Linked DNA regions of Canis lupus familiaris. The protein of the gene in region 5 purifies or fractionates together with the protein of the main gene of each other region. This does not show direct contact. Links are inferred from orthologs where the notes say so. Each region holds a gene or a part of one and is shown on either strand. Other genes may lie near its edges.

Region 1 (4,138 bases), on a different chromosome or scaffold from region 5:
TGCTGTCGGGGCTGATTGCAGATCTGGATGCTCTAGACGTGTGCGGGCGAACGGAAATCAGAAATTATCGGCGCGAGGTAGTGGAAGATATCAACCAATTACTGAAATATTTGGATTTGGAAGAGGAAGCAGATACTACACATGCATTTGACCTGGGACAGAATCATTCCATTTTAAAAATAGAAAAGGTCCTCAAGAGAATGAGAGAAATAAAAAATGAACTTCTGCAAGCACAAAATCCTGCTGAATTGTACCTGAGCTCCAAAACAGAATTGCAGGGTTTGATTGGACAGTTGGATGAGGTCAGTCTTGAGAAGAACCCTTGCATCCGGGAAGCTCGGAGAAGAGCGGTGATTGAGGTACAAACCCTTATAACTTACATTGACTTGAAGGAGGCCCTGGAGAAGAGGAAGTCGTTTGCTAGTGAGGAGCACCCGTCACATAAAGCAGTCTGGAACATCCTTGGAAACTTGTCCGAGATCCAGGGGGAAGTTCTTTCATTTGATGGGAACCGAACTGATAAGAACTACATCCGGCTGGAAGAGCTGCTCACCAAGCAGCTGCTGGCCCTGGATGCCGTGGACCCGCAAGGGGAAGAGAAGTGCAAGGCTGCCAGGAAACAGGCAGTGAAGCTCGCCCAGAACATCCTCAGCTATCTCGACTTGAAATCCGACGAATGGGAGTACTAAATAGTACCGATCTCACGGTTGATATTTCTTGTTTTGCACTTTATATATACTTCTATGTATTTATAGAGAGCTTTCAGTTCATTGAGCCTAAATGTGATTTATACATGCAGATTTCAATCTCCGTTTTTATGATTTAAGCAAATTATATACAGTATCTCTGCTGCTTTTGATGTTGCAAAACAAATGTCATTACAGCACGTTAACTTTTCCATTTGGATCATTATCTGTATGTTGTGGTGTGGTTTTTTGGTCCTTTTTTTTTTTTTTTTCCAATCAGAAAGTGGAACGGGCATCTTTTGTCATTTTTAAATGGGTTGTGCCAGCATTGAAATGTGGATCTTTCAGGATCTAGACACACACACAACCTGACAGAGCACTAGAACAATTATGAGAAGAGGGGAAATTTTGGTTAGGTAGAAGTAAGGTCCAAACACAAAAGCAATACAATGATATGATTTATTATGCTAAATAAAGCAGAAGGGTTTTTGTTTGTTTGTTTTTTTCTTCATTTTTAAGGCCCGATTGGTCCAACCCAAGTTAATCGGGTGGGGGTTTTTTTGTTTTCGGATTTTCTGTTTTTTCATAAAGATTTTTTGTTTGGAAAATGGTGTCTGTATTTTCCCCCTACACTCTGCATTTAGAGGGGAAAATCTTATTTTCATGTGCAACGTAAGAAAATTATGAAAATTAATAGCAAAAAAACCTTTGAGACTGCATTGAAGAAAGATGAAAACACCAGCTAATTACCTTCCAAGTTTTTGTTTGTAAACTCAGTTTACAATTTTCTGTAGTCATCAGTAAGGATGGGAACATTTTAGTGAAGTTAGGAGACCTTTTAAGAAAAAAAAGAAAAAAAAAAAGAAGAAAAAAGAAACAGCCATACCTCTGGCAAGATAAAACTGGAGATTAGTTACCGCTATCAGGTTGTCCTGAGCGAATGCGTCTGAATGTAGGAGGCAACAGGCTGCCTCTCTTGTTCAAGGGTCTTTTAAACACAGCAAGTGCTGTTTGGTAGTGGCCAAGAGCAGAAACCGCCAGTAGCTCTGCGGGACCAGAGCGTCGTGGCTTACCCGGGGAGGTCGGCTGCTCCTAGCATCTGAAAACCTCGCACTCTGGGACTGAGCTCACTTCATTGGCACTCGGATGTTTCTCTAGCACCTGAAAGAGTCAGGAAGGTCTGTCCCTGCAGGAAGTGTTTTTTCACTTGCTAAAGGGTACATCTATTTCTGTAAATGCTTTCTGAGGGTCCAAGTTTTATGGCTGCCAGTTTATGGGAACAGAATTTCCCAAAGTTCCAAAGTGCCTTGATAACACATTGGTCCCAGTATGATAACGAACAGATGACACTTTCTGTTGTCACCTTTCACAAAATAATCCTATTAGAGTATGTCTTTCGGACTCCGCAGCAGTCTGTAATTTCCTTTCAAAGATCGTGATTTGGTAACTGTAGGCAGCTAGAAATAGCCCCATGTACCAGAGAGATGATAAAAGCGTGGCTCTAAAGAGATTTTCACTTTGTCTCAGCTTTGCCCAATAATTAAAAGCCCTTGATGTGTCTTTCCTACTAGCAATGTTCTAGTACGATTCAGTGGGTAGTGAAGTCCAAGGGCATTTGTGTCTCTGGGCCTCGACCCTTTCCCATGTGCACATCCAGCCCTTGGCAACTGGAGATTCTTAGTGCAGGTCACTGGCAGCTCATTTTGGGCTAAGTATCCTCATCTTTGGGTGCTCTTAAAATCCTGGAGTTTCTATATTCAAGTGCTGCCTCAGTTTACCCCACTGGGAAGGCAAGGCTTTCCTCCCAAGCTCGTCAGGCATGTCCTGCCCCAGGCTCTACTTCATTTTCAATGTCAGATTTAAAAGTTAAATGTCAGCATTTCCTTTAAAAGTATCCATTGTTTTTCCAAAAGGGACCTTCCCATATGGTTCATTTTCAAACAAGGCGTTCTGCAATCCTAGAGAAGGCTCGTGCAGCTGAGCTCGGCCCGGAGCCTGGCCCGTGAGCGGAGGGAGCTCACAAGCCATCGCAGACTTCTCCTGTGGGTTATTTTGGTCATGGAGATGATCAGATCATCCTCGAGTGATCTGAGGCATGACGTTTCCTGTCCAACCTGTTGTAGTTCCTTGCACCGGGTGACTCTCCCATAAGGAACCCTAGTGACACCGGGTTTAGCTTTTCTCGTCCCTCGTTGGGAGCTGTGTTAATAGGGGCTGCCTGCCGCTTGTAACTAAGTTGAGCTCATGACATTGTATTGTATTTTTATGATCTTACGTAAAGAGAACCTGTAATGGAAATAAAACCTACCCCCAAAAAAATGTCTGGCCTTGGGTCTGCATTAAACGGTGTAATCCATGTTCATGCAAAAACTGGCTGGGAATGTTTGCTTTCTTTACCTCACATGCAGACAGCTTTGCTTTCAGGTCAGTCTTTACCCAAATTAGACTAAAGTCCATCGCCCTATAGAGAAGCAGTTATGAAAATAAATGTAATGAATAAGTCTACTAAGTACAGTGGAATGCTTTATTTTGCTACGATGCCTTGGTGTAGTGTATCTGATACAGGTCAGCACTGCGAGACGCTTAACCAGTGTTTCTCATTTGTTTTTGCCAATTTTTATCTGTTTTTTGAGGGTCAAAGCTTATCTTGTACATATAGGTTGTTTTTAAGCAAAGCTTTTCAGCTTTTAACGCGTCTAGTATTTTTCTAAGAGTAACTAGAGAAGTGTTTGCCATTGATTTTGATGTACAATACAGATGTGTTACTCCAGCGTGTTGGCTCCTGTCCCCCCTCCATTCATTGTATGACTATTGTAATTGTATGTCTGAAGTAATTCAGTATTTTGAGATATTAGTATACCCTTAATTATTAATGCAATAAAAATCTCTTAGCTTATCTTTGCGGTGAGAAAGGATGTGAGTCTGAGGTGTGAGTTCTGTTCTGATTCACCTTCATTTACTGTCCGACCCGGGTAAGGAATAATGTCTTGGCAAAGTGGGCCAGGCTTGGGGAAGGCGGGCTCCCCAGGTCCAGTTGGTGGCAGTGGGGGAAGGAGGTGGCAGCCCTGAGCACAGACCAGGGTCCTGTGGCAGGTGAAGGGATCACTGTTCCATGTGAGCAACACCTGAAGTGTGGGCAGCAGGGAACAGCCCAGGGGAGGCCTGGCCTCTCGCTGCGCCCATGCAGCCGGGCGCACAGGGGTTGACCTCACTGTAGAGAAGCAGGGAAAGTGGCAAGAACTGCCCCCCGCCCCCCCCACCACCAAGGCTTCACTTAAGATTGCCATTGACACTTGCCTTCTCATTAGCAGAGAGTTGGTATTTCTGACCCGTTAGTCCTTGGGGGCCCCCTGAGCCCCCCGCCGCCTCCCTGTTCCGCCCCCACTCACCTGGGGCAGTTTCCTGCCTGTTGCACGCCTGTTACATGAAAGCAGCACCTTGCTTGCGCTGCT
Region 2 (4,354 bases), on a different chromosome or scaffold from region 5:
CAAATACAGAATAAAACACGAACTGATCTCACAACAGAAACTGAGGAGTGTACAGGGTATGATAACCGAGACGGCAGATTGACACCACCTATCGGCCACAAGGAAAGGGACTGCAGACGCGTCAAGTCCAGCTGTGGGTCTGCCTCTGGTCCATGGGCAGGGCCTGGGGGAGGGTGTGCGCCCATCCTGGGAGGGCTGCAGGACCCAGTGGCACAGACTGGAATGCCTTTTCCTGCTGTCCCCACCACCTGCAGCCCTATCGCTCGAAAAACCACTTAAGTCTAGTGCACGACTTTGAAAGATTGTAATATATTCTCTGGAAAACATTCAGCAGTACGAAAGCCCTCCCTGGGCCCTCCCGCCCTCTCACGGGTCCACAACTGGTGGAACGGTCCGGAAATCCTTGAGCTCTGGAAAGGTCCCTGGTTAGTCCTTGGGAGACACAGGTGGCTCTATATTGGAAGAACCTGCTCAAGTACGGTTCTTGACGTCTGGGGAATCCTTTCGGGGAAGATTACTTCAAACTCAATAATGAGGTCCCCGCGTTTCTCGGGTGTTTTGGGGAGGGGGAGGCCTTCTCCAGGAACTTTTCGCCGCATGCCAGGCCTGATGACATCTTTAAACACGACGGGGATGCTCCTGCCGTCCAGAGTGGGTACATTCACCGTGCAGCCACACAGAGCCTTGAAGAGCAAAGAGAACGTTAGATGAAAAATAGCTTAGGATGCTCAATTCCTGCCCAGAAGCTGTTTGATAGAGGGGAAGTGCCATCAGGCCCCTGCAGCTAAGACCCTGCCCCAGATCTACCCAGGTCACTAGCTAGCATGTTAATCTCTGGAAAAACAGAACCCTGGTCAGTCTTATTTTTGCTCTTATTTTACCCTTCAAGCCTGGCTCCAAAGTGCTCAGAAAGATCTGTCAAGCAGATACCCAACAGCTTCAAAAACCAACCATCTCCCTCCATACTGTACCCTACTAATTAGTAGCCTACCTCCCGAAGGCTGATCCTGGCTGGGTAAATGACATCAGAGCCATCTCTCTTAAAGATATTGTGTGGCTTGTCCTTTAAAACAAAGACAATATCAGCTGGAATGTTGTTGGAGGTCTGGTCGCCTTCCTTAGGGAAGGTGATTTTGGTCCCTTCTTTCCACCCCCGCTTCACTTCGATGGTCAAGATCTTGTCTTCGTTGCGAATGCTCTTTCCATCGGGGTTCAGTCGCTTGTGGGAGATTTTCATCTTCTTGGTACAGCCGCTATAGATCTCTTCAAGCGAGACCCTAAGGTCGTGGGTGACGGGGGGATCTTGCTTCTTTCGGGTGGGCTCTTGAGCGGGACGGGAACGGCCAAAGTTCATGTTGGTGAAGCCACCCATGCCCATGGGGAAGCTAGAGAATGGGTCATCAATGTCCATGCCTTCCTCCCCATTCCGCTGCCCAAAAAAGGTGTCAAAGGGATTTCGGCCACCGAAGAACTCAGCAAACATGGCATGAGGGTCTCCATGGAATGTGTAGCTGAAAGAGGTACCATTAGCACCACCGCTGCTGCCACCACTGGGGCCACCACCCTTTAGGCCTGAAAGGCAAAATCAGGAGAAATGAAATGGTTGGCAGTGAGCCTCTCTCTCTCACTAAAAGAAAAAAGCTTGAGAACCATAAATGATGGGGAGGAGGGGGAGGAATTTTATTAGCCTATCAGAAGAGAGTAAGGAAAAACCCTAAGGTTTTAACCCCCCACTGCAGCAACAGAGTTGGGACTCCCCCCTCCAGGTACTTCACTGTGCCAGGGCAGTGGCAAAGGGCTCAAGTGCCCTCTCCAGGGGCCACCAAATTCCTGCCACTTCTTGACTGCCCTATCCTCCCCTCAAGGATATGAAAACTTACCAAAAATTCATTAAAAGATCAGATTAAAAAGAAACCCCCTCCAGAATCTGTGCTCAGTGTTTACTCTTAGAAATACTTGGGAGCTAAGGATGTGTGCGGAGCACAAGTGAAAGCCAAACCATAAATGCAGCTTTTCAAATTCTCACACCCTGGCACTAATTGCCACCATCCTTACATAAAAAGCCACTTCATTTCTTAAGACCCAGCCCAGAAACCAGTCTGAGTCATCCACGGGCAACTGGACAAGACAGCTTCCTTCCCTTGGCCTGAGAGGCCTGCGCCGAGGAGGCCGGGCAGAGGCGGGTCCCGCCGCTCCCTGCACCTGGACTGCGCTCGGGCGCTGGCTGCCTTCTACGTGTCTGGCACCAGGTTAGGTAAGCACTTTACGGGGATTACCTCACTCCGCCCTCACAGGGGCCCCGGAGCGAGGTCGGCGCTAATCGGCGCGCTCACCCGCAGGCTCGCCACTCGCAGGTCGTGCCGGCGCGCAGCCAGAGGCCCCCCCGGCCCCCCTGCACGCCCCGGCCTGCCACCTCCGCCCAGGTGCGCCCCGGCCCGCTAGGGCGCGGTGCTACGGGCCGGCTCAGCCTCAGTGGCCCCCTCCGTCCGCACTGCACCCCCAGCACTGCTCGGGGACGTGGGTGGAGGAGCCTAGGGAGGGGCGACCGCAGACGTGCTAGAAGCTTCTGGGCAAGCAGCGCGGCCAGGACTCCTCCTCCCATCGGACGGCCGCCAATCCGAGGGCGGAGGCCCGCGTGGCCGGAGGGCGGGGGCCGCTCGCCCACCGGGCCCGGGGCGTCCCCCGGGGCTGCCACAGCCCGGCCGCCGGGCCTCGGTTTCCCCTCCTGTCAAACGGCGGGGCGCGCCCCTGGCCGCGCGCGCACGCACCTTCTTCCCCGTAGCGGTCAAAGATCTCGCGCTTGCGCGGGTCGCTGAGCACGTCGTAGGCCTCGGCGATCTCCTTGAACTTCTCCTCGGCGCCGGGCTCCTTGTTCTTGTCCGGGTGGTAGCGTAGCGCCTGGCGGCGGTAAGCCCGCTTGATTTCCTCGTCCGACGCGCCGCGGGCTAGGCCCAGCGTCTGGTAATAGTCCTTGCCCATAGCCCCCGCCTGCGGCCCGCCGCCCAGCTGTCGCCGTACCCCGGCTTCGCCGCCGCCCCGTCCCGGACCCTATATACCCGTCCGGCGGAAGCTTCCAGAGCCCGCCAGCCCCCTCCAGAACCTTCCGCCCCGCCCCCCGCACCGCTCCGACCAATCGCCGCCGCCCAGTCCGCGACGCGCGACGTCCGGGGCGGGGCCGCGCCGCCAACGGCCGCCCGCGCGCGGCCACGCCCCTTCCCGCTCCGTCCTCGGCAACGCCTCCCCGCGGCGCGCGCACCGAGCTGCGGGGGCCCCGCCCACTTCGCGGGGAGCCAATCGCGACCTTCCTTCATTGCCCTCTCGGACCAGGCCGACGAGCCTGGGTCAACAGGTTACAACACGAGGCTCGGGAAGGGGCGGGGCTGCGTGCGGCCCCGCCCCTCAAGGCTGCCCCGCCCTTCCCCAGGTGACAGAACTGCTCGCCCACTGCTCACGGAGCACCCCCCTCCCGGGGCGATTCTGAGCAAGCTGACTAACCTTGCGGTGCCCTAGGTACCCCCACCCCGACTTCTGTAACAGGGGAATAAAAATACCTACCCACCCTCTTTTCCTGGCTGTGGGGAGAATACAATTAGGAGCCCCAGGACTGTGCCTGTCCTCACCATACGGGTTCCTACAAAGCAAGGTGAGGCCCCAGGACCAAAGCTCACCGCCCTGGTGAGATCTTCCCTCCAGGGAAAAAGGCTCCTCATGCCTTTCACTTTAGTATTCTCTTAAGAACACCTGCCACTGAAATCCAAAATTATCTTGTTCTTTGGTTTTCTTGCTAAATCCACCTCCCTCCCAGCCTGCAGTTGCCAGTATCTGGAACCCAGTCGCAGTGGACGCTTCATAAATATTCCTGTTTTTAATGCACCTGCTTTATTTTTCTCCCCACTACATTTATGATTTGGGGGGACACGGGTGTGTCATATACCTCTCAGGGCCTCTGTTTCCTCACTTGTGGGCAATATGATCCCCTTTGGCTCCAAGAGTCTGGGGTGCTTGTGGTCAAAGGGCTGATGGGGAAGGGAGGCTCAGAATGGGGTATCACCTGAGAAGGGGTAGGCAGTTGTGGTGGCTGAGGTGGAAGGTTCCTAGGAGAACTGCTTAGGAGGTCAGGGTGTGTGACACTGGCTCTGGAGCCAGCAGCAGATTTCATTCCCACTTTTAGCACTTCCTGGCTGCATGACCTTGGGCTGGTTACTGAGCCAGCTGGGGCCTCAGTTTCCTCATCTGTACAATGGGGGTAGCAGTTGTACCTGCCTTGTAAGTCAAGGTGTGCAGGACTGACCTGGCACAGAGGAAGTACTTTTAAAGGGGTGACTAACCATCTTGGTGAATAATGGGCTGCTCA
Region 3 (4,255 bases), on a different chromosome or scaffold from region 5:
AAGGGAAAGATTGTGTTTCTGAGAATAAGTGGTGTGATCTGGCTTATTTGGAAGTATTACTGTAGTTACTGTATTGAGAACACACACAGCAGAGGCAAGAGTAGAAGCGGGAAGACCAGACAGGAAGGTGTTGTAGAAATGCAGGTGAAAATTGATGGTGGTTGGGACCAGAGTGGTAGCAGTGGAACTGGGGAGAAGAATCCTAGTATATTCTAAAAGTAGAGCTGAGGGGATTTACTTAGGGATTGGATCTGTAGGATAAGAGAGAAAAAGAATCCAAGATAATTCTAAAAGTACATGATAGACTTTCAAACCATTCCCAGCATATCTTTGGATTCCAAGTCTGTGTCCTGATAATGACAAAATATATTTAATGAAGTCAAATAATACCTTACACAAATAGTTTATTAGTATGTAGATTGAATTCAGAGGGAACTGGGATCCAGGCTGAAGGCCCTGTCTCCGTTCAAGTAGTTAAATGGCTTTGATCTCAGATAAAAAGGTTGTGATTCAGCTTTAAAGTGTTATTATCATTTTATGCGCGCAGTTCATTCTCATCCTTGCAATATAAGGCGTACAGCTATAACGACATGAGAGCAAAGCGCAAGTTTTTAAGTACATAAACCTGTGCTCCCAGTCCTGCTCTTACTGACCTTTATAGTATATGCCCCAGTAACGTGCCACGTTTTTTTAAATTACAGGAGATTTAAATAAGTTGGGTGTCAAAGAAAGATGGGATAGCTTTTTCTTTTTTCCCCTGTAAGCCTCAGTAGTGGTGTCCAGGCTTTCATTATTTCCACCTCAGAAAAGGGACTGGTAACAAGCTGAGGCAAGCCCAGACTGCCTGGGAGCTGTACTTAAGTGCTATCCTTTTCTTCCCATATCAAAGGATTTTTAATGGTTTGGGTTCTGACACGAATGATGGGCGCTGGGAGAAAGTGAGCGAAGCCGGCCCCGGTCATTACCCACAGCCTACCGTCAGGTACCTCCGTGGGGGGGGAGGTGGTTACGTTCAGGCCGCACGGAGTCCCGGTTCCCGGGGGCGGGGAGGGGGCTGTTCCGTGGGTCTCCGCTGGGCTTTCGGTCGTTCTAGGGTCGGGACAGAGGGGGAGAGAGAGAGAGAGAGAGATCCGGCGGTCACGTGAGGCCCCCTGCCCGCGCCCGCCCCTCCAGGTGCCTCGGAGGCCGCGGGGCGCGTCTCCTCTGGCCTCGGCCCGGGCGGCCCACCCTCGAGGCCCCGAGGCCAGCGCCCTCCCGCGGGCACCGCAGCCCCCAGCCCGGCGGGCGGCGCGCTTGTCCTTGTTTGGCCACGCGGCAGCGGCGGTGTCGGCGCGTCCTCCCGGGCCGCCCCCCAGCGGGCGTCAGAGGGGGGCGGGCGCCCCGCGCGGTGACGGCGACGCCTGCGGCCGCCGGACTCTCCACTCAACGTCGCCCGAGAGGCCGGTGACCTCTTGGCCGCCCCCGCCTCGGAGGCTCAGATGGCTCAGGCCAAGATCAACGCGAAAGCCAACGAGGGGCGCTTCTGCCGCTCCTCCTCCATGGCGGACCGCTCCAGCCGCCTGCTGGAGAGCCTGGACCAGCTGGAGCTCAGGTGAGCGGCGCGGGCGGGCGGGCGGGCGGGCGGCAGGGCGGGGGGCGCGTGCGCGGCGGGCGGGCCGCGGCCGGAGAAGTTGCTCGCCTGAGATTTGTTCCCCGCGGGGACCGTGCGCTGCCGCCCGGCTCGGGGGGCCGCCGCCTCCGCGCCAGAGAAAGCGCGTTCGACCCAAGCGAGAGCCTGTGAGCGCGGGAAGGGTGGCCGCATTCTCCTGAACAGACCTGGGCTGTGGGGAACTGAGAGGATCACAGAAGGTAAGAGTTACGGTGGCGTTCTCTGAGGTTAGAGACCGTGACACCCCGTGACACCCCGGGTCTACTGAAGGTCTAGAATTTTCTGAGTGCCGCTATGTGGTTCCCCCCAGATGTCTCTAACTTCTCTTTTTCTACTACGCATCTGTAGGAAAGGCGATAGTTCAGGGGTTCCCCCCACCCCATGTGACTGATAAGTTTCTTTGCTCCAAAACACAGAGAGAGAGAAAAAAACAGTAAAAATCTAGAAATCTGTCTGAGAGCAAGAAGAGGGAGGAGTAGGACAGATGAGGGGCCGCGGGGTGAACGGCGGCTGGGCACTTGGTGGAGGAAGACCCTGCGGCTTCCATTTCCCCCCTAACCCCGCAAACTGAATTCAGAAATTCTGTTAGTTTCTCGCTATTTATTGTGTACCTCCTTCCTTAGAAGACACCTTCTCGAAAGTGCTAGTCATTGGCCTGAAAGCATAAGATAGGTTTTTTTTTTTTTTTTTACTCTTCCCCCTCCCCCCCTTAACTTAGGCTTGTATACAATTTCTAAATAACGAACAGCAAATTTTGGAAATTATTGTTTCCCTTAACAGCGTCTGAAAAAACTTTCACGTACTTCCTCTAAGAGTTTGTCACCAAAGTTACTGTGTAAATGGTGTGCAGGTGTAGATAAGTCAAAATCTTACTAAGACTCCACAAACCCCTGAGGCCATACCGATTCTTCCCCCCTCCTCCCCCCCCCCCCCCCGTAGTTTTCATCGGGTTCTGGGTGAGCAAGGAAGCACGTCAGCCAAAAATTTTAAGAAGCAGCGCGTGCATGTCTATCTCCCTCAATTTATATACCAAAGCAAGAAGAGGGGTTTATTTGCCAGGACAGTGCATTAATAACCACAATATATCTCAGCAGTTGAGGCATTTATGATTATTATTATTACCCTGAGAGAAGAGTCGGAAAATGAGAAATTCTCCATCCACAACGATTTTGTGGATGACAACAGATAGAGAAACCGCAGTCCAAAACCACCTTCTAGGGTTCTGCCCAGAATGACACATATGGAACCAGAGAAAAAGTAATGCTTCCCCTGGGTTGAGCTTGATGCATTTACTCCCCAGAGAAAGTGGAACAAAACTAGAGATCGGTGGCTTCAGCTACTTAATGTCGCCCCAAAGAATAATATTTCTTTTGGTGTAGCAGCACATTACAAGTAACTTACACATCTCCCCAGGTGTTTAGAACTTTGATGTGTTCCGAAGCATTTCAGGGCTCTCTTGGCACTATCAGAAAAGATTTTTTTCTGAAAGGAATGAGGAACGTTGCCCCTCCCTTCTTCAAGCTGAGTCATTCCCCTCAAACTTGAATGAACATCTCGTGTCTGATAGACACAAAAGCAGTCAGGTACTCATCTTTAAAAGAAGGCCTCTGGTTTTGAGTATTCGTATATTCTAATGTTTGATTAATGTAAAGTGAACTGATTATTATACCAGTGATTAGATTATGACTTGCTTAATTAACCCTTGAGCTGAGGAGGAAAGACTAAAATGTGCTAATTGCTCATTTTAAGGACTTCTTTAGTAGTTTTAAGACTTTTGTAAGCTTTGTTTCTTCCTTTAAAAAAAAAAAAAAAAAATGTAGGGCAGCCCAGGTGGCTCAGCGGTTTAGCGCCACCTTCAGCCCAGGGCCTGATCCTGGAGCCTCCGGATCAAGTCCCATGTCTGGTTCCCTGCTTGGAGCCTGCTTCTCCCTCTGCCTGTGTCTCTGCCTCTCCCTTTCTCTGTGTGTTTCTCATGAATACATAAATAAAATCTTTAAAAAATAAAATAAAAAAGTGAAATTGAGTTTTTAAAAAATAATTAAAATTTGTAAAAAGTAATTGTGATCTAAGGAAGTGTTTTAAAAGGTAGTAAAAATAGTAAAAATAAAGAAAAATACTAATGATCCGTTAAAGTTCCTTTGAAACTACATGGGCAGTGTCACAGAACCCCACATTGTTAAAAACTAGCATCATGCCTAGAAGCTTTGTAAAAGAAACAAATAGGTAATTTTGCTCTAATAGTTCAATTTCATATTAAGGATGACTCATAAAGCATTGTTTTAGGTAGAATAAAACACTGTAGTTTGATACTTAAAGTTTGCATATAGTTCCCCAACTGATTTTATCACTTGTGGTAGACCTTCTTCCATATGAGACTAAAGACAGAATTATGCTAAATGCTTTATGCCTAATGGTGGGCATGATTTTTTAATCACGTATGGCAGCATTCTATATTGTTGAAGGAATTCCATTTGTTTCTAATACTTTACCATGACACTAGCCTCTTTCTTGACTCCACCTCTTTTCATTTTTTGCTTCCTCTTAAAAAAGTGATTCCTTTCTCTCTCTTTTTTTTTTTTTTTAAGATTAAATTTTTATTTGAGAGTG
Region 4 (3,501 bases), about 22 Mb from region 5:
ACATAGGGCATTTTTAAGATATTTTTTATTTTAGAGAGAGAGAGAGTGAGCATGAGTGAGGGGAGGGGCAGAGTGAGAAGAAAAGAGAGAATCCTAAGCGGACTCTGTGCTCAGCATGGAGCCCAATGTGGTGCTTGATCTCAGCCCTGAGATCATGAGCTGAAATCAAGAGTTAGATGCTTAGCTGATTGAGCCACCCAGGCGCCCCCTAACACAGGGAGGGGCCCATTTGTAAGGGCCCTTCCACATAAATCCAATATGGGAAACAGTGTGGTGATCTGAGAGGTTGAACGTTTGTCCAGCTTAGCAAGACTATTGCTTTTCCTTTTAGTCTGCATGGATTTGTGGGTTGATTTATCACTCTTTATCCTACAGGTAGTCCTGCGGCCCCAGAGTTCCTGCCAGTCTGGGCGACAGCTCGCCCTCCGCCTCTTCAGCAAAGTCCGGCCCCCTGTTGGGGGTATTTCTGTTAAGGAACACTTTGAGGTTAATATATAGTCCTTTGGGGATCCAGAAACAAAGGGCACTCAAAAGCTGTGTGTTGTTATACTATGTTAGGGGTAGGTAAACTGAGGGATGATATCTGAGCTTAATTGCTTCTTCAGCCTTTTTCCTCTTTAGGTAAATGTGGTGCCTCTCACCATCCAGCTGACACACCAGTTCTTTCATAGAATAATGGGCTTTTTCTTTCCTGGCCGAAGTGTGGAAGATGATGAGGTTGGTGATGAAGAAGATAAGTCCAAACTGGTGACTACTGGTGAGAACTTTTATGGTGGAGCTCCAGAAGACTGGGGTAGTGGCCCCAGAGATAGCTAAAGCTTCAAAAAGAGGATAGCAGCTGGTATGCTTGCATTTTCATAGGAATACCAGTGGTGAAGCCTCGGCAGCTGATTGCTACAGATGATGCAGCACCACTGGGCCCTGGGAAGGGTGTGGCACAAGGCTTAAACCGGAGTTCTGGTGTCAGAAGATCATTTCGGAAAGTACCTGAGGTACCAGACATGCCCCTGATCATGGAGAGATGGGACAGTCCTGAGGTTCTCTGTTTGGGCCAGCTGGGGATGTTTTCAGTCTTTTCCAGGGATGAAAGGAGATGGAGACATCTCCTTTCCTGAGTTTCTTCTGATGGTTTCAGGGACTCACACTCCTTTCCTGCCTCTCCTAGCACCCTGTGGATGATATTGACAAGATGAAAGAGCGAGCTGCCATGAACAACTCCTTCATCTACATAAAGATTCCACAGGTTCCTCTGTGTGTCAGCTACAAGGTCTGTTCCTCCCTAGTACTTTCTAGAACAGGGTGGGAAGGGAGCCAGATAAGATCAGAGATTAAAGTTAGTCATGGACAATCTGGTTTGTGAAGTTGGTCTATGGGTGATAATCTGCTATTCCCTCTACTGCCTTCAGGAGTCAGAACCATTACAGGATGAGGTAAGGGGAATCAGTATCTGTAAATTGCTGCTGTAGGAAAGTACTAGACTTCCGACTCAAGTACTAGCTTGAACTAAAAATGGCAGCTAATGTATCTTTTCATTCTTCTTTTCTCTGTCCTCTTCCCCTCCTTCTCTTGCAGGGTGAGAAAAACAGTGTGGATTGGGGTGACCTTAACCTGGTGCTGCCCTGTCTGGAGTACCATAACAACACATGGACATGGCTAGACTTTGCCATGGCTGTCAAGAGGGACAGCCGCAAAGCCCTAGTTGCCCAGGTATCCCGGCAGAATTCATGGCTCTTTGGTTAGCAGGGGCTGGCAAACAGATCCTGGGCTCAGGAGCATTTCATTGTAGGACATATGTAGGACAAGCAGCCTTGGGAATGGACGGGTGAATGAAGTGAGCTGCCCTCTCCATGACTTTGGTCAGATGACTAAATTAAATGTTTACTGAGTGTTTCATATATGTTAACTACTGTTGATTTTTAGGAAACTGAGGGCTGATGCAACTTCAGGTTCAGAATGGGTTCTAATTAGACTGTAAGCTTCTTAACAGCAGAGATAATTTTATAATTTGAATTGCCCCATTGTGTCTTCATGTAAGCTTAATAAATCTTTATTGATTTGGTTCACATTGATTTATTTTGCTTATCCCACTAATGCTTCCCTTCTCCTAACTTATTAGGTAATCAAAGAGAAGCTAAGGCTGAAGCCTGCAACAGGGTCTGAGGTCCGAGGAAAGCTAGAAACTAAATCAGACCTCAACATGCAGCAGCAAGAAGAGGAGGAGAAAGCCCGGCTCCTCATCGGTTTAAGTGTGGGCAACAAGAACCCTGGCAAGAAGTCCATCTTTGGCAGGCGCAAGTGATCCAGCATCCAAGAGTGGCTGCAGTACAGGATCTGACTCTGGCTCAGGCCCCAGGGACTTGTGGGGTGGGAGGCGTCTCCCTTCACCTATCAGGATTTGGGGGGGTTGGGAGACCACGGGGTACTGTGGAGAGAGGCAGTGCTTTTTTAACAGCTGGCCTGTTCCCTGCAGAATACGGTGGATAATAATGCTGAGTTCTACCTCACACTGATCAGCAGGCCAAGGGCCAGAGGCATCAAGAGAGCAAGACCCAGGGAATGGGTCCAGGATCAGGATCTGGTTCCCTTGGGGGCAACTGAAAGGGTGGGAGGGACAGTTCTGATCAAGTGTGATAAATTTTTATAGACCTATATATAAATACATAAATATATATTTCTAAGTGTAACTGCTCTCCCTCTGTGCTGGAAACTTGAGGGGAGGAGCTGATCTGTTCCTCATTTCACTGCCTTGTATGAGAGGTATTAGGGTTCTGGGGGGAAATCAGCCCCTTTTCAATCTGTGCCAAGTTCACTTGGGAAGATGGCAATAGGTGCCAGGGCTGGCCATGGGTCCCCTTGGGGTATGTCCTGGAGAATGGAAAGAAAACAAAGAGAAAAATATATTTAAAGTTGATTTTTTTTTTTTTTTTTTTTTTTGGTGTGTTAAGTGCATATGGGTTCAACCTGTGTCCGTCCCTCCCCATCAACCCAAGACATATCCTTTAGCTGTTACTCTGAGGATGGCCTCTTCCCTCCTGTGAAACTATATCATGGATACTTCCCAGCTCTGGTTTGACGCTGGCCCCCTAATAGGTCTCTGCACATTTTAGTGCTGGCTATGAGCCTATTCATAACTGGGGTGGGGGTGGGGGATAGGATTTGAGGATAAGAGTGGGGTTAGGCTGCAGCAATTTGCATCTCTAGTCATGAACAACAAGGAAGAGGCGGGGCTCATGTGTAATGTAGCATAAGGGGAGGAATTGCTTATGTAACAGACAGCAGATTTAGCAGGAGGAGAGAGGAAGCAGAGGCTTTGAATGGGAACAGTGAGCTGTCGGCAGGGGCAACATGCCCCGGTGGCTGCTTCTCATAAGGTAGGCTGTGGGGCTCTGGCAGCCTATTTAGGGGAGGTGAAGGGGTATGGGCTTAAGGCCTAGGAACTGACTGGTGCGGAGAATGTTAATGATGCCCATAGTGGAGGTGGAACAGGAGGCTATGCTGTGA
Region 5 (3,411 bases):
CTATGACAGTGGACAGGACCTAGATGAGGAAGGCATGAATATGGGCGGTGAGTTGGTTGGGGCAGTCTAGGATGAGCCTGACAGCTGTGGATTGTTACAGTTTTTCTAAAGACACTCCAGAGGGAAGTCTGTATAACAACCAGTGAGGCAGAGTGATGTGTAAAACCCACCCTGGATGAATACCTGTGATGTGTGAGGTACTGTGATGGGTGCTGGAGATAAAGGTAAGTCAACCAGGTCTCTGAGCTCTGAGAACCCAGTCTTGGGCTTTGCACCCAGACTCACAGGCCACTTCTGACCCCCGGATATGGAGTCCCAACCCAGGGTGCAGAGTGGATACTCAGGAGGTGAGCCCTAGGAAGGGAAGGGTTGGAAGTGCAGAAAGAATACCTTCAGGGAGCTGCAAGGGGCTGAGTATGAGAGGATAGAGGGTGCCTAAGGCAGGAGAAGGTGAGATATGAGGCAGAGTAGCCGGATAACTCCCTCTCCCCCACCAGAAGGCCTTAGCAGCTTGAATAGGGAATAGGAGCCTTTTCCTATGGACTGGAAGTTTCTGCCCACTGCAGGGCATATGCTGACTGAGATTTACGTTCGTCACCCATTCGTGGCAGGCTTCACAGAGTTCAGTTTCCCCCAAAGACTTAAAATGAAATAAAGCATAGCTAGCTGTCAGTGTTGCTGCTCGCCATGAGCTCCGTTGGAGATGAGGATAGGAACTATGCAGTGGTTCTCAGACCAGTCTCCAATGCCAGCCTTTCTCCTCCATTAAGAAAATCTATTGGAATTTAAAATAGGATTGATGATCCTAGATAGTCCTCCTCTCTCTGGTTCAGGGTGTGTGTGCACTTTAAAAACCTAGGTTTACCAGTAGTAAACATTGCTCTGCCCAGCAGTTGAGAGGAGAAATAAGCAGTCAAAAACTATTGAAGAGTTCTAAGTAGGGGAGCTCCGAACCAGAGTTTGGCTCCAGAAGTATATTTATGATGGCAGTGAAGAGGTGGTTTGGTGCAGTGAAGGGGGAGATGGAGGAAAGCACAAATGGGTAGGACAGGATTGGAGGCCACAATGGGAGGAGACGTGGCAGGAGATGGTTGCTGACATATTGGAAGAAGGGAAGGATGAAGCTGAGTGGCTTTGGGTGGCTGACTTGATGGAGCTGGTCACTGAACTAGGAGACCCAAGATGAGCAGATACACAGGCAAGGAAGAATTTAATTTTGGATACAATGTGCCTGTTGCACCAACTGGTGGAGATAAATCCTCTGTGGCTTAGGAAGTCAGGTGGAGGTGGGGACAGCAGACCTGCTGTGGCCTTATCACTAGGCCACAGCACTGGAGACCGGCCAGAGCTGGAATGTTTGCTTCTGCTGCATTCACTGGCCACATGATCTTGAGCAAGTTACTTAAGTTCCTTTGTCTGGTTTTATTGAGTATAATTGGGGATGATGTAAGGTATGCAGAGTACCCACCATGATTGGCACCTGGTAGGTGCTTAATAAACCATGGCTTTTTTTTTTTTTTTTCCTGTCATACTGTCTAGACATTGCATGGAATCAAATGAATACTGTAAACCTTAGATCTTATTCCTATATTTAGTGTTAGTATTCCTATATTTAGTTTAGTATCTAGATTTTCACCCTTTCAGTAGCAGCCCCAGCATTATAGACAGACAGAATGGGGTGTCTCATGTCAATAAGTGCAAATGCCATCGCAGTTGTGATGAAGGTCCAGCAGAGGAGGTTGAAGCAAAGAAAGCTTTCATTCCGGCCCGAGCTGGGAAGGAGGGAATGTGTCCTACAAGTGGGGTCGAGCAGCGTTAGGTATGGAACGTGGGGGCAGATATGCCCACCCACAGTCAGGTTTTGGAAAAGGATGCACATCATAAGTTCCTCTTCAGACATGTCTAACTTTTTCCAACTTTCCCTGTCTTTTGCTCTGCTCCATAGATTTTGACGCAAACAATATCTTCAAGGCATTCTTTGGCGGTCCTGGGGGCTTCAGTTTTGAAGGTGGGTATGCCTCCCACTCTCGGGAGTTCCCCAGATCACAGGCCCATAATGTGACTCCCCCCTCAGGTATAGTAGCTCTTTGAAAGTCAGCGAGGCCCATCTAGCAGGGTACCGATCCACTCAGGTGCTGTTGAGCGTGGAGGCAGGGAGGCTCCTGGGCACACCATACCTTGGGACTGTTAGTGCCACACCTCTGCATGGCCGGGAAGGCATCTCAAAGCTGTCGAGTGCCAGGGCTTCTCTGCAAGAGTGAATGTTAGAAGCTACACACGAGCTGTGCTCATATGTTCCCGACACCCCAGAGCCTAGGCTGGCAGTTTTTCTGTTGGAGTTCGAAGCAGCCCTTGAAAACGAGCAAAGTGATCTTTCCACGCAGAGCCAACTAACAAGCCCTTCTTTTGCCTTACAGCATCTGGTCCAGGGAATTTCTTTTTTCAATTTGGCTAATGAAAGGAAACCATCCGGAACCCAGAAAGTGCAGACTTGCTCAATGTAACCTTGAACGTGGGCACAGCTCACCTCCTCCCTTCATCTCGTCTCCCCGTCCTTAGAGCAGTTGCGTTTTCTTAGTTGGATACCCCTGTGTCTGTGTGAGTGGGGGGAAGGAAGGGAGCCAGCGCGGAAGACTGCGGGGAGGGGAGAGGGGTGGGGGGTGGACAGGGAGGCAGCTTGTGAATTTTTGTTTTACTGTTTAACTTTATTAAAAAAGAAAAAAAATTAAGAGAATAAAATGTTTTGACCCTTTCTGGCACTTTGCTCTGGCAGCTGCTTTGTGTCACTCCAGAGTTGGTAGGCCAGAGCTGAGCCCCCAGCACGGAGTTGGTACGGACATGGATTGTAGGCTCTGCATCTGGCCCATGAGGGGTGTGGGCACCTGGGGCATGATGGCTGGGGGATGCTGGCCACCTCTCCCAAGCCTATTCAGCCTGAGTGCTGAGCAGACCTGAGAATGCTCAGTCATAGGTTATCTGATGGTAGGGGCCAGCACCGCCCACCAGAAGCTACGTGTGTCCAAAGCACACCTGGAGCGTGGCTGGGTATGCTCAGGCTGAGCTGACCCAGACTGAGGACGTTTACACAGGCCCTCGTGGTCCTGTTGGCAGTGCAGGCTAAGGGACATGGGGACGGAGACAAAATCCTGCCTCCCTGACCCTTTCAAGGTGGGACAACACAGCTCCTGGGCGCAGGGGTCCAGGCACAGACCTGAAGCTCACATGGTTGCATTCTTAGGAGATACCCTTCACCTTATCCACTGCTGTCCCTTCTGTGTGGGAGATGAGGAAGCAGTGACTAGTGTCCTGCTGTTCAAGTCAAGTGTAGTGGTCGTGGCAAGTGATCTTTTTGGCAGAGAGATTTGAGACTTAGACTGACGCTCAGAATTTTAGCACTTCAGTAGCAGAGAT
Region 6 (3,776 bases), on a different chromosome or scaffold from region 5:
CGGCAGTGACCCTGGCACTGTGTCAGGACTTGCTGCCTTGTTGGATTTCTGCTCATTAACTACCTTGGAAGTGCTGACCTGACATCCATGGTTTTAGTTCAATAAAAAATAAATTGCTCTTTACCTAGATTCAGTGTTAAGTTTATTATTCTTTTCTAGGCTAAAAAATTAATCTTAATTATCGCTAATTTATCAAAACATCAGACAAATCAATCATGTTATGAACTGCTTACCTCTTTTCCAGAGTGGGGTTTGGAGACAGATAACTGTGGTTTATAGAATATTTGATATGGCATATTATTGATTATTATAGTCTTGTCTTCAATCTGAATAATTTGTATACCCTGCTGTACCATGGAGGAAATGCAGAATTGACATAACTGCAAGACAATTGAGGAAAGAATTTTTAAAATATCATAAGGCCAAAAAAATGTTATAAGGCATATAACACTTTCTTATTTTTATTATTTTTAAAGGTTTTATTTATTTATTCATGAGAGACACACAGAGAGAGGCAGAGACACAGGCAGAGGGAGAAGCAGGCTCCCTGAGGGGAACCTGATGTGGGACTCGATCTCAGGACTCTGGGATCATGCCCTGAGCCGAAGGCAGATGCTTAACCATTGAGCCACCCAGGCATCCCAACAATTCCTTATTTTTAAAAGCTCATTTCATCTGTTGGTTTGTCCAGGATAGTACCAATTTTAACTTGTGTTCCAGAGTATTTACTGGAGGCCCCTCTCAGCCTCAAAAATGTCCCAGCCCCTAAAAGGGGCTACTATTTACAACAGGGTATTCTAGAAAACCAGTTATTTCTGGTGCTATGGCATAGTGAGAGAGACTTGTTTTCAAATTATTTAACCCATTCTCTCACAAAATATTTAATTATAAACTCTTCTATGTAAACAGATGCCGTTCATCTTTTCAACATAAAAAATTCAGTTAGGCATTCCTCCTCATCTTCCTCATGCTCATCACGGCAGCAACCTTGCCTAAGGTCTAGTAGGGACCACCAGGTGTTTTGAGAACTTTACCAGTGATGATGATAAAAAACAATGGTTGGCCCTCAGAAATTGGTTTCTTGTGCTCTGCTTGTCATAAGTATTTATGCATGTTAAGTCACAGAATCCTCACATAACCCACACGAAGCAGCTATTATTATCCCCATTTTATAGAAGAGGGAAATGAGGCTCAAACCAGTGAAGTTACTTGCCCACGGTCATAAGGACAGATGGGCTAGCTGGGATTAGAAACCATGCAGTCTGACTCTACAGTACTGCTCTTAACCTCCACAAGGTTCCCTTACCAAGCTTTATGAGGGTCAAGTGCTCAGAGGAGAATTAGTTGTCTAAAGATACCCACTTAGTAAGTGGGAATGTCAGGACAGCAGTTCTCCAAGTATGGCCTGGGACTCGTGTGTGTATGTGTGTGTGTGTGTGTGTGTGTGTGTGTGTGTGTGTGTATGCGCACATGCATGGGGTTTGAGATCCTTTCAGGGGGTCCAAGGGTCAAAACTATTTTTATAATAATACGAAGATGCTATTGTCTTTTCCATTCTAATTGTCTCATGAATGTACAGTGGAGTTTTCCAGAGGTTATATGACCTATGATGTCACAACTGTCATGGCTAACATAATGTATGTGTGTTCTTGCATTCTAAAGTCTTTGTATTAATTTCTTGTTCGATGGATGTCAGTAGTTATAACCCACATACACAAAAGGATTTTGGAGGCCTATAAGGATTTTTAAGAGAGTAAGGGGGTCTTGCGATTAAAAAGAATCACTAGCAAAGAATAATGAGATATAAATATATATTATTATGTAATAAATAGTAAATATACTATTTCCAACAGTCCATTCATTCACATTCATTCAGCACTTGTTGTGGCCACTTTGTGAGGTGCTGGAGGTATTGGACTGTATATCATGACATTTTTTCCAGGTTTTGATGGTCGTTCTCAACTTACAACTATTCAGCTTTGGGTGATTCACGCTTACAGCTCTTTGCCATTTACACCCATGTTACAGTATTTTGGCTGGCAGCACATAAACATGTGTTGCCCAGACAACTCTGAGGAAATGGATAACAGCCCTGAATACTGAAGAGAAACCAACGTCTTTGTATCAGAGAAATTTTATTTTAAAAAGTCACCAATAACACTAACTTTTTGCAATAGGCTCTTCAAAATACCTGTCAAAATCTAACTTCTCCCCAGAGAAAGGTCATTCTGAATCATGCTACTCTGATGAGGTAGCCTATCTTCTGATTTGGGGGTGTGTGTGCTAAAATTGCGAAGATATTATTCAGTACAGCATGAGACCGCAACATGGTATGCTATGATGTTGTGCTGCCATCCATTGAGGATAATGTGATTTGTTACTATATCATTCAACTTAATTGGTTTTCATAGACTTTAGAAAAGATTGATGCTGAAAATGACACACCGTTTGTATTTAGTTAAATAACTGATGAAATAGGTTTTCTGTATTCATATCATCACGAGTATCAGTTCTCTGTTTAGGAATAGAAGTCCCTCATAACATTAGGTTCTATGGGAAGATCAGAATCGATTCTGCTCAGGATGCCCTTTCCAGAAACTTAACATTTGCTATGGGAGGTTTGTCCTTTCACTCGGTGCTCAGAATGTTAGCAACTCTACTTCTTGCTCTAAGAAAAGGAGGCCAAGTATAATTTGTGGATATTTCGGAATAAGTTCATTTTTCCCCCACATACGATCAATCAAGTGACTTCTGAGTGTTCTGAAATAGAGCAGTTATTGGATAAATTATGTGACATGGCTTTTATCACTGGTAAAGGAAAAAAATAAAAAACAAACCCTGTGAAACTGAGAGGTCTAAGAAATCGCATGTCTCACTGTTATACATTGTCTAGAGCATGTAATACTAAAAAGGGACTAGAAAGAAAAGGGTAGACTCATCTTAAACAGCTTGAGGGGATGGCATGCTATTTCCCCGGAGCCACACAGACTTTGATCCTACCTTCTGATGTCCTGGGAAAGCACCAAGCCTTATTTCAGCATCAACAAACCCTTCTTCATCCAATGACACAACTTCACCATTACCTCCATCTTTCCACTTTGGAGATGTCAGATTATGGACCAGTTTAATTGCTACTGACTTGTGCACAGTGTTTGTATTTGCCCAGTATATTCCAATTTGAAAAGCCTCCTGGAAAAACAATGCCTCAATTATAAAGTATTTATCTTAACTTGGATTTTTTTTACCTCAATTCACAGGAATTTTTTATATTATATAATAGGTCTACTTAGGCAACCAAATCCCGTTATGAGTTTTGTTTTTGTTTTTGTAATGGCAACATACATTTTCTTTTAGTTCTCAATGTTTTCTTTGATTCACAATGGGATTCATATTTATGGAAGGGGGGAAAACCCCTTCACACAAAGACTTAAAAATGGAGGGTTTCATTTCATTTGAGTAAAGAATAATATGCAACCTTAGGTACATGTAGGTTAACATTCCAATTCCATAAGGTAATATCATCTGATTATTTAAAAGAAAAAAAAACACACAGGAAAAATGCAATTGAATAAAGATGTTCATGAACTACAGCTCAAAAAAGAAGACTCTCCAATTGTTCCCCACCAGGAAAACATTTTGTTTAGTAATTCCTTGTATTCTGTTTTCTTAAAGATATATGTGCTTTCTTGAAATGGGTTAGCCTTATCAAGAAAGTTCTCTTGTGATGGAATATAGTCTGGCTGTGAAATTCTGTTTTACATTAGGGTTCCACCCCC
Region 7 (4,286 bases), on a different chromosome or scaffold from region 5:
TGTGGTGCCCAATGGACATCTGCTCTAGCCCACTGTCTGAGTCCCGCACGGTCCTCCGAGTCTCCCGGATCTGGGATGGGGGAGAACACAGCCCTCAGCCACCCCTTCCGAAGCCCTGGCCACACCACACCAGGACAGCAAACCACCCCCAGCCCAGTCCTGAGAAAGGAAGGCAGGGCTGCTGCCTGCAGCCTTCAGTGCTGCCTTCTCTGGGAGGTGAGAAGCTGCCCAACTCACCCCGCCTGGTGCCGAACGCATCTCTGATGTCTCCTGGTAGACCTTGGGGGCGCCATCACCCGTATTGGAGTAGGAGATGACAGTGGAGGATGAAAAGGTCTGGCAATTGCCTCCTGCTGTCATATGTTCCTGAGGAGGAAAAGGTACCACAGGACTGAATGGTCCCTCTGGAGAAGGAATCCCACACCACACTTCAGCTGCCTGTTCTTGTCCCTTTCTCACAGCACGGGGGAGCCAAGAAAATGTCAGGACTCATCAGTAACCCCCAAATTCCTTGGAGCCCAACAATAAATAAGACGGAGCCTTAATTGCACACTTCATGAGACTGCTGCTGCTGCTTCATACTCAGGCATGAGAGCAGATAAGGGAACCCAGTGCTCTCCGGGCTCCATGACTTTATCTAGCTCCAGCCCTTCCTTCACCAGCACACTCTTCCCTGTTCCTGCCTCAAAGGACTCAAGGTGTTGCCAGCTATCACCGAGAACAAGAGTACAAAAGCATATGGGGTAAGAGCCTCACCATGTTCCCAATCATGTCATTCATCATTCCAAACATGTCCATGAAGCCACCCGACTGCAGCAAAGAGATGGAAAACAGAGTCAGGAAAGCACAGTCAGAACTCAGATTATCTTTAGGTACCCGCTAGACAGACACGTGGCTACACATTCCCTTTCTCTTCTTCACATGGAGCCACTGCTCTGTCTCTTCCTCAGCGCGACCAGAACAGGGGGTGTTCCCCTTCACATCTCCCTCCCTGCGCATGCTGCCTTCCTCCTCAGTCTCTACAGCTTCTCTGATCCAATCTGCTTTCTCCCAACTGTCCTATTTCCTCCTATCTTTAGGAAGCACACCCAAGTAAATAGATTCTAACCCACAAAAGGGTTGGGCATAAAACCATAAAAACAGCAACAGCAAACTTCTAAAAGCCATCTCGGTTGGCCCTTCGACTCCATCTCCATCCTCAGAACGACAAACTTTGCTAGGCAATTACATTTTCCTAATAGGTGTGGCTCTTAGAATGGAGGAATCAGTAAGTTAGCATCTTTAACCCACAGAACTCAGCACACAACAGACCCAGAGCTTTATGAACACTATAAAAAGATTTTAGGGTTACCCATAAGGCTGTTCCAGAGAGCCACATTTGGAAATAACATCTAAGGATATAGAGTGTGTCTGAGAATGGAAGGACACGAGGACATTAGGACTCACCATTCCCAGCATCCCAAAGGGGGAGACAGCCCCAGCCTACAGGAAAACATAAAGAACAAATTAAAGACCACGTCCTATGTCACTACAGTCCCAAACCAAGTGCATGGTCTCAGCTTTTTTTTTTTTCTTCCATCCTCCTCTCAAAAGGGGATCACAAAGCCCTTTTGCCAGACCCCTTCCCCAACTCCTAAAAATGATCATTCCACTTGCTAAGTTGGCTGAAGTGCAAGAGAAATCAAGGACTTTATTAGCCACCCTCCAGCATTTCCTTGGGTGTTGGGTATGTCTCGGCATCATTACCTGCATCCTACGGCTGGCAGGCCTGGCCCCGGGCATGTTGCCATCTGTGATGCTGAGGAAGGGGCTGTATCCAAAGCCACCTGACAACATTCGGTTCATATGCTGACGGTGAATAGCAAAGGGGTCCCTGTGGAAGTGAGTATACAGTGTAGATGGCAGAAGGGACAGTCAACACCTTCCTCCCCCACAAAAAAGAAAAGTCCAAGGGAGAAGGTGGCACAGATGCCTATTTCCTCCCCTAAGCTGGAGCTGAAGCAGAGTATCCAGCTAGTTCCAACCAATGCCAGCAATGGGAACCCAGATGTCTGTCTGAACTACTTAGAGACCCGAAGTGGAGTAGGATGAGCGCTCTAGAACAGGAGGGGGAGGGAATACTCACATCAGGAACATGGGATCCTCCGGCTCCACGTCCCTCATGAAGCGGAACATCCTGATTTTAGCTCCAGGGGGCTCCACACTGTAAAGATGTGGAGGCTCAGATACTCGGAGCCAGCCAGGCTTTTGCACACCCGGCTCAGTGTAGGGACTCTGAGAACACTGTCCCTTGCAAATGCTGTAACCGACCCCCACAAACTCCAGTGAGCCCCTTCTCCAGGCGGTGTTGGACACCACCCTCAAGGGAGATTAGGGCTCTTCAAACCTCTCGAGGAGGGCTGTGGAAAATTTTTCCCAGCCTCGCAGTTTTCTGCCTCCCCCACTCAGCCAGCCTCTCCCCGAAGCCCCGGCCAGAAGCACGCCCCCTTCCCCGACGCCACTGCTTCGGATGCGAATCTCGGGGGCCGGCCCTCGCCCCAGCAATGACCCCGGCCACCTCGCCCCCTCCTCACCCCAGCCGCAGCCGGGCCTCCCCCCGGCGGGCCTCACTATCCCCACCGCTGCCCCCGGCCCCCGGCCCCCGCCTCCCCGCCCGGCGAGCAGGAGCGGCAGGCCCGGCCCCCTCCCCTCCCCGCCTCCCAGGCTCCCAGACCCGCAGCTCCGCGGGCCCGCTCCTGCCGCCGGCTGCCCGCGCCGCTCGAGCCTCACCGGTCCCCGATCCGGGCTCAGCGGCCCATCCGGCCGGTCTCGCCTCTCTGTGCGCTGCAGGCTCGGGGGTTGCGGCCCGGGACGCGGGATTGGTCCGGGCTGGCTCTCCTCGGCCTCCCGCGCCGCCTCCTCCCACGGCTGCCACCTCCGTACCCCCCCACGGCCCGCGGAGCCCGAACCGCGGCCAGGCCCGGGCGGAAGTGACGTCACGGGGGGACGGCCCGCCCCGGGGCCGGGCCCGCGGAGCTCCGCCCACCGGCGAGCGAGGGGCTGGGGCTGGGGCCGGGGCCGCTCGGGCGGCGGGGTCCTCGGGTCTAGGGGAGGGGGCCTCATCCCCAGCTGGACTCGGGCCCTGTGGCCAGGAGGAGGCGCCCCGTGGGGGTGCGGGGAAGAGCGGGGCGCCCCGCCTCGTGAGGCTCGGGGCGGGACGGGGCGGTGCGGCACGTTCCCTGCGGGGAAGGAAGAGCCCGGGGGCAGGTGCCGGGGGGAGGGGCGGCTCCCCGCGGGCGACGACGTGGGGCGGATCCTGGGGGGAATATTAAGCAGATTTTCTCCGCCGGCGGCGTTCGGCCCGGGAGGGAGGCAGGGCAGCCGCCTCGCGGGGGAGGCGCCGCGGCCAGTCCTGTCGGGGGGAGGCGAGTTCCAAGCAGGGGCGGGGCCCTCGGGCTGACGTCGCAGGGGAGGTGACCGCTCGGCCCCTGTCTGGCTCCGGCTTCCAGAACTCGGCGGGCGGGAGAGAATGCGGGGTGGGCGGGCCGGCCGCCAGGTGGCGCTCCTCGGCCGGTCTGGAACGGCGGGGCTTCGGGAGCTGCCGTTGGCCCTGCTCCCGGACCCTCGGTTCCTCCGCGCGCAGGGTCGGCCTGGGCAAAGGTTGTCGTTCTGAAATCGTTTCGTGGAATGCCGGTTTCTCCCCTTGCTTTTCTCTCACTGCTGTGTTCCCAGGAGCTCCCAGTCCCGCTCTGATCTTTCCTGCCTCTAGTCAGGTAGGTGGGTCGAGGGTCTAAAGTTTGGGAGAAGGAAGGGGTGCAGAGCTCCGTTAACCAGGATCACCCAGGGGCGGAGCTGGAATCAGACCCAGAAGGCCAGGGCCAAAGACTGAAACTTTGACATACTAAATGTCTTGCATAAAATCTGGCCCAACTGGAGAGAAGGGCCCTCCCCCAGGGTGTCAGGAGAATTTGGACGGTCTACGATGGACTTTAAACCAGACTCATCCAAACTCTAGCTCTCCCTGGTTCTTTACTCTGGCTGCTAGCCATATTAGCGCTCTGTGGAGCCCAACAATGCCAAAGACTTGTTCCCAATACTTCCCTAGGGGTGAAGGAGGACGGGGGTCCCAGGTGACTCAGGAAAAGGTACCGGGAGCAGGGCTTCTCAGGTTTCTTGGGACGCGATCATTATTAGTGAGGGAAAAACAATAGTGGAGACAGAGGGGAACAGTGATAATTTGGAAGCTGCCGGGCTGGCAAAACCAAAGAAAGATAAAGACAGGATAAAAGAAAATTTGCTTTTCGTTG

The links.
Region 1: the proteins of DNAJC7 (region 5) and BAG5 purify together in Homo sapiens (affinity purification with mass spectrometry; 4 studies listed by BioGRID and IntAct, with this or other methods). This does not show direct contact. The link is inferred for Canis lupus familiaris from reciprocal best matches to the Homo sapiens genes DNAJC7 and BAG5.
Region 2: the proteins of DNAJC7 (region 5) and DNAJB1 purify together in Homo sapiens (affinity purification with mass spectrometry; 3 studies listed by BioGRID and IntAct, with this or other methods). This does not show direct contact. The link is inferred for Canis lupus familiaris from reciprocal best matches to the Homo sapiens genes DNAJC7 and DNAJB1.
Region 3: the proteins of DNAJC7 (region 5) and BAG2 purify together in Homo sapiens (affinity purification with mass spectrometry; 7 studies listed by BioGRID and IntAct, with this or other methods). This does not show direct contact. The link is inferred for Canis lupus familiaris from reciprocal best matches to the Homo sapiens genes DNAJC7 and BAG2.
Region 4: the proteins of DNAJC7 (region 5) and KIAA0100 purify together in Homo sapiens (co-immunoprecipitation; 3 studies listed by BioGRID and IntAct, counting the BioPlex papers as one, with this or other methods). This does not show direct contact. The link is inferred for Canis lupus familiaris from reciprocal best matches to the Homo sapiens genes DNAJC7 and BLTP2.
Region 6: the proteins of DNAJC7 (region 5) and VPS13B purify together in Homo sapiens (co-immunoprecipitation; 3 studies listed by BioGRID and IntAct, counting the BioPlex papers as one, with this or other methods). This does not show direct contact. The link is inferred for Canis lupus familiaris from reciprocal best matches to the Homo sapiens genes DNAJC7 and VPS13B.
Region 7: the proteins of DNAJC7 (region 5) and MLF2 purify together in Homo sapiens (affinity purification with mass spectrometry; 3 studies listed by BioGRID and IntAct, with this or other methods). This does not show direct contact. The link is inferred for Canis lupus familiaris from reciprocal best matches to the Homo sapiens genes DNAJC7 and MLF2.

Annotation. Positions count from the first base shown.
Region 1 is NC_049229.1:71,721,761-71,725,898, reverse strand, and holds the end of BAG5 (BAG family molecular chaperone regulator 5), read left to right. Parts: coding exon 1-689; 3' UTR 690-3,601; downstream 3,602-4,138. UniProt on the Homo sapiens protein: Co-chaperone for HSP/HSP70 proteins. It functions as a nucleotide-exchange factor promoting the release of ADP from HSP70, thereby activating HSP70-mediated protein refolding.
Region 2 is NC_049241.1:48,526,272-48,530,625, reverse strand, and holds the start of DNAJB1 (dnaJ homolog subfamily B member 1), read right to left. Parts: upstream 3,072-4,354; 5' UTR 2,980-3,071; coding exon 2,769-2,979; intron 1,573-2,768; coding exon 992-1,572; intron 684-991; coding exon 453-683; 3' UTR 1-452. UniProt on the Homo sapiens protein: Interacts with HSP70 and can stimulate its ATPase activity. Stimulates the association between HSC70 and HIP. Negatively regulates heat shock-induced HSF1 transcriptional activity during the attenuation and recovery phase period of the heat shock response.
Region 3 is NC_049233.1:24,621,639-24,625,893, forward strand, and holds the start of BAG2 (BAG family molecular chaperone regulator 2), read left to right. Parts: upstream 1-1,363; 5' UTR 1,364-1,478; coding exon 1,479-1,591; intron 1,592-4,255. UniProt on the Homo sapiens protein: Co-chaperone for HSP70 and HSC70 chaperone proteins. Acts as a nucleotide-exchange factor (NEF) promoting the release of ADP from the HSP70 and HSC70 proteins thereby triggering client/substrate protein release.
Region 4 is NC_049230.1:42,788,806-42,792,306, reverse strand, and holds the end of KIAA0100 (protein KIAA0100 homolog), read left to right. Parts: exon of another isoform or gene 1-375; coding exon 376-486; exon of another isoform or gene 487-621; coding exon 622-757; exon of another isoform or gene 758-861; coding exon 862-992; exon of another isoform or gene 993-1,165; coding exon 1,166-1,267; exon of another isoform or gene 1,268-1,572; coding exon 1,573-1,707; exon of another isoform or gene 1,708-2,116; coding exon 2,117-2,299; 3' UTR 2,300-2,906; downstream 2,907-3,501. Other genes in the region: RSKR (ribosomal protein S6 kinase-related protein), read left to right, coding at 3,315-3,371. UniProt on the Homo sapiens protein: Tube-forming lipid transport protein which binds to phosphatidylinositols and affects phosphatidylinositol-4,5-bisphosphate (PtdIns-4,5-P2) distribution.
Region 5 is NC_049230.1:20,758,391-20,761,801, forward strand, and holds the end of DNAJC7 (dnaJ homolog subfamily C member 7), read left to right. Parts: coding exon 1-47; intron 48-1,945; coding exon 1,946-2,008; intron 2,009-2,417; coding exon 2,418-2,455; 3' UTR 2,456-2,734; downstream 2,735-3,411. UniProt on the Homo sapiens protein: Acts as a co-chaperone regulating the molecular chaperones HSP70 and HSP90 in folding of steroid receptors, such as the glucocorticoid receptor and the progesterone receptor.
Region 6 is NC_049234.1:1,896,324-1,900,099, reverse strand, and holds part of VPS13B (vacuolar protein sorting-associated protein 13B), read right to left. Parts: intron 3,190-3,776; coding exon 3,001-3,189; intron 381-3,000; coding exon 234-380; intron 1-233. UniProt on the Homo sapiens protein: Mediates the transfer of lipids between membranes at organelle contact sites. Binds phosphatidylinositol 3-phosphate. Functions as a tethering factor in the slow endocytic recycling pathway, to assist traffic between early and recycling endosomes.
Region 7 is NC_049248.1:7,808,439-7,812,724, forward strand, and holds the start of MLF2 (myeloid leukemia factor 2), read right to left. Parts: upstream 2,975-4,286; 5' UTR 2,770-2,974; intron 2,204-2,769; 5' UTR 2,176-2,203; coding exon 2,126-2,175; intron 1,874-2,125; coding exon 1,747-1,873; intron 1,537-1,746; exon of another isoform or gene 1,483-1,536; coding exon 1,447-1,482; exon of another isoform or gene 811-1,446; coding exon 757-810; exon of another isoform or gene 367-756; coding exon 238-366; exon of another isoform or gene 71-237; coding exon 1-70.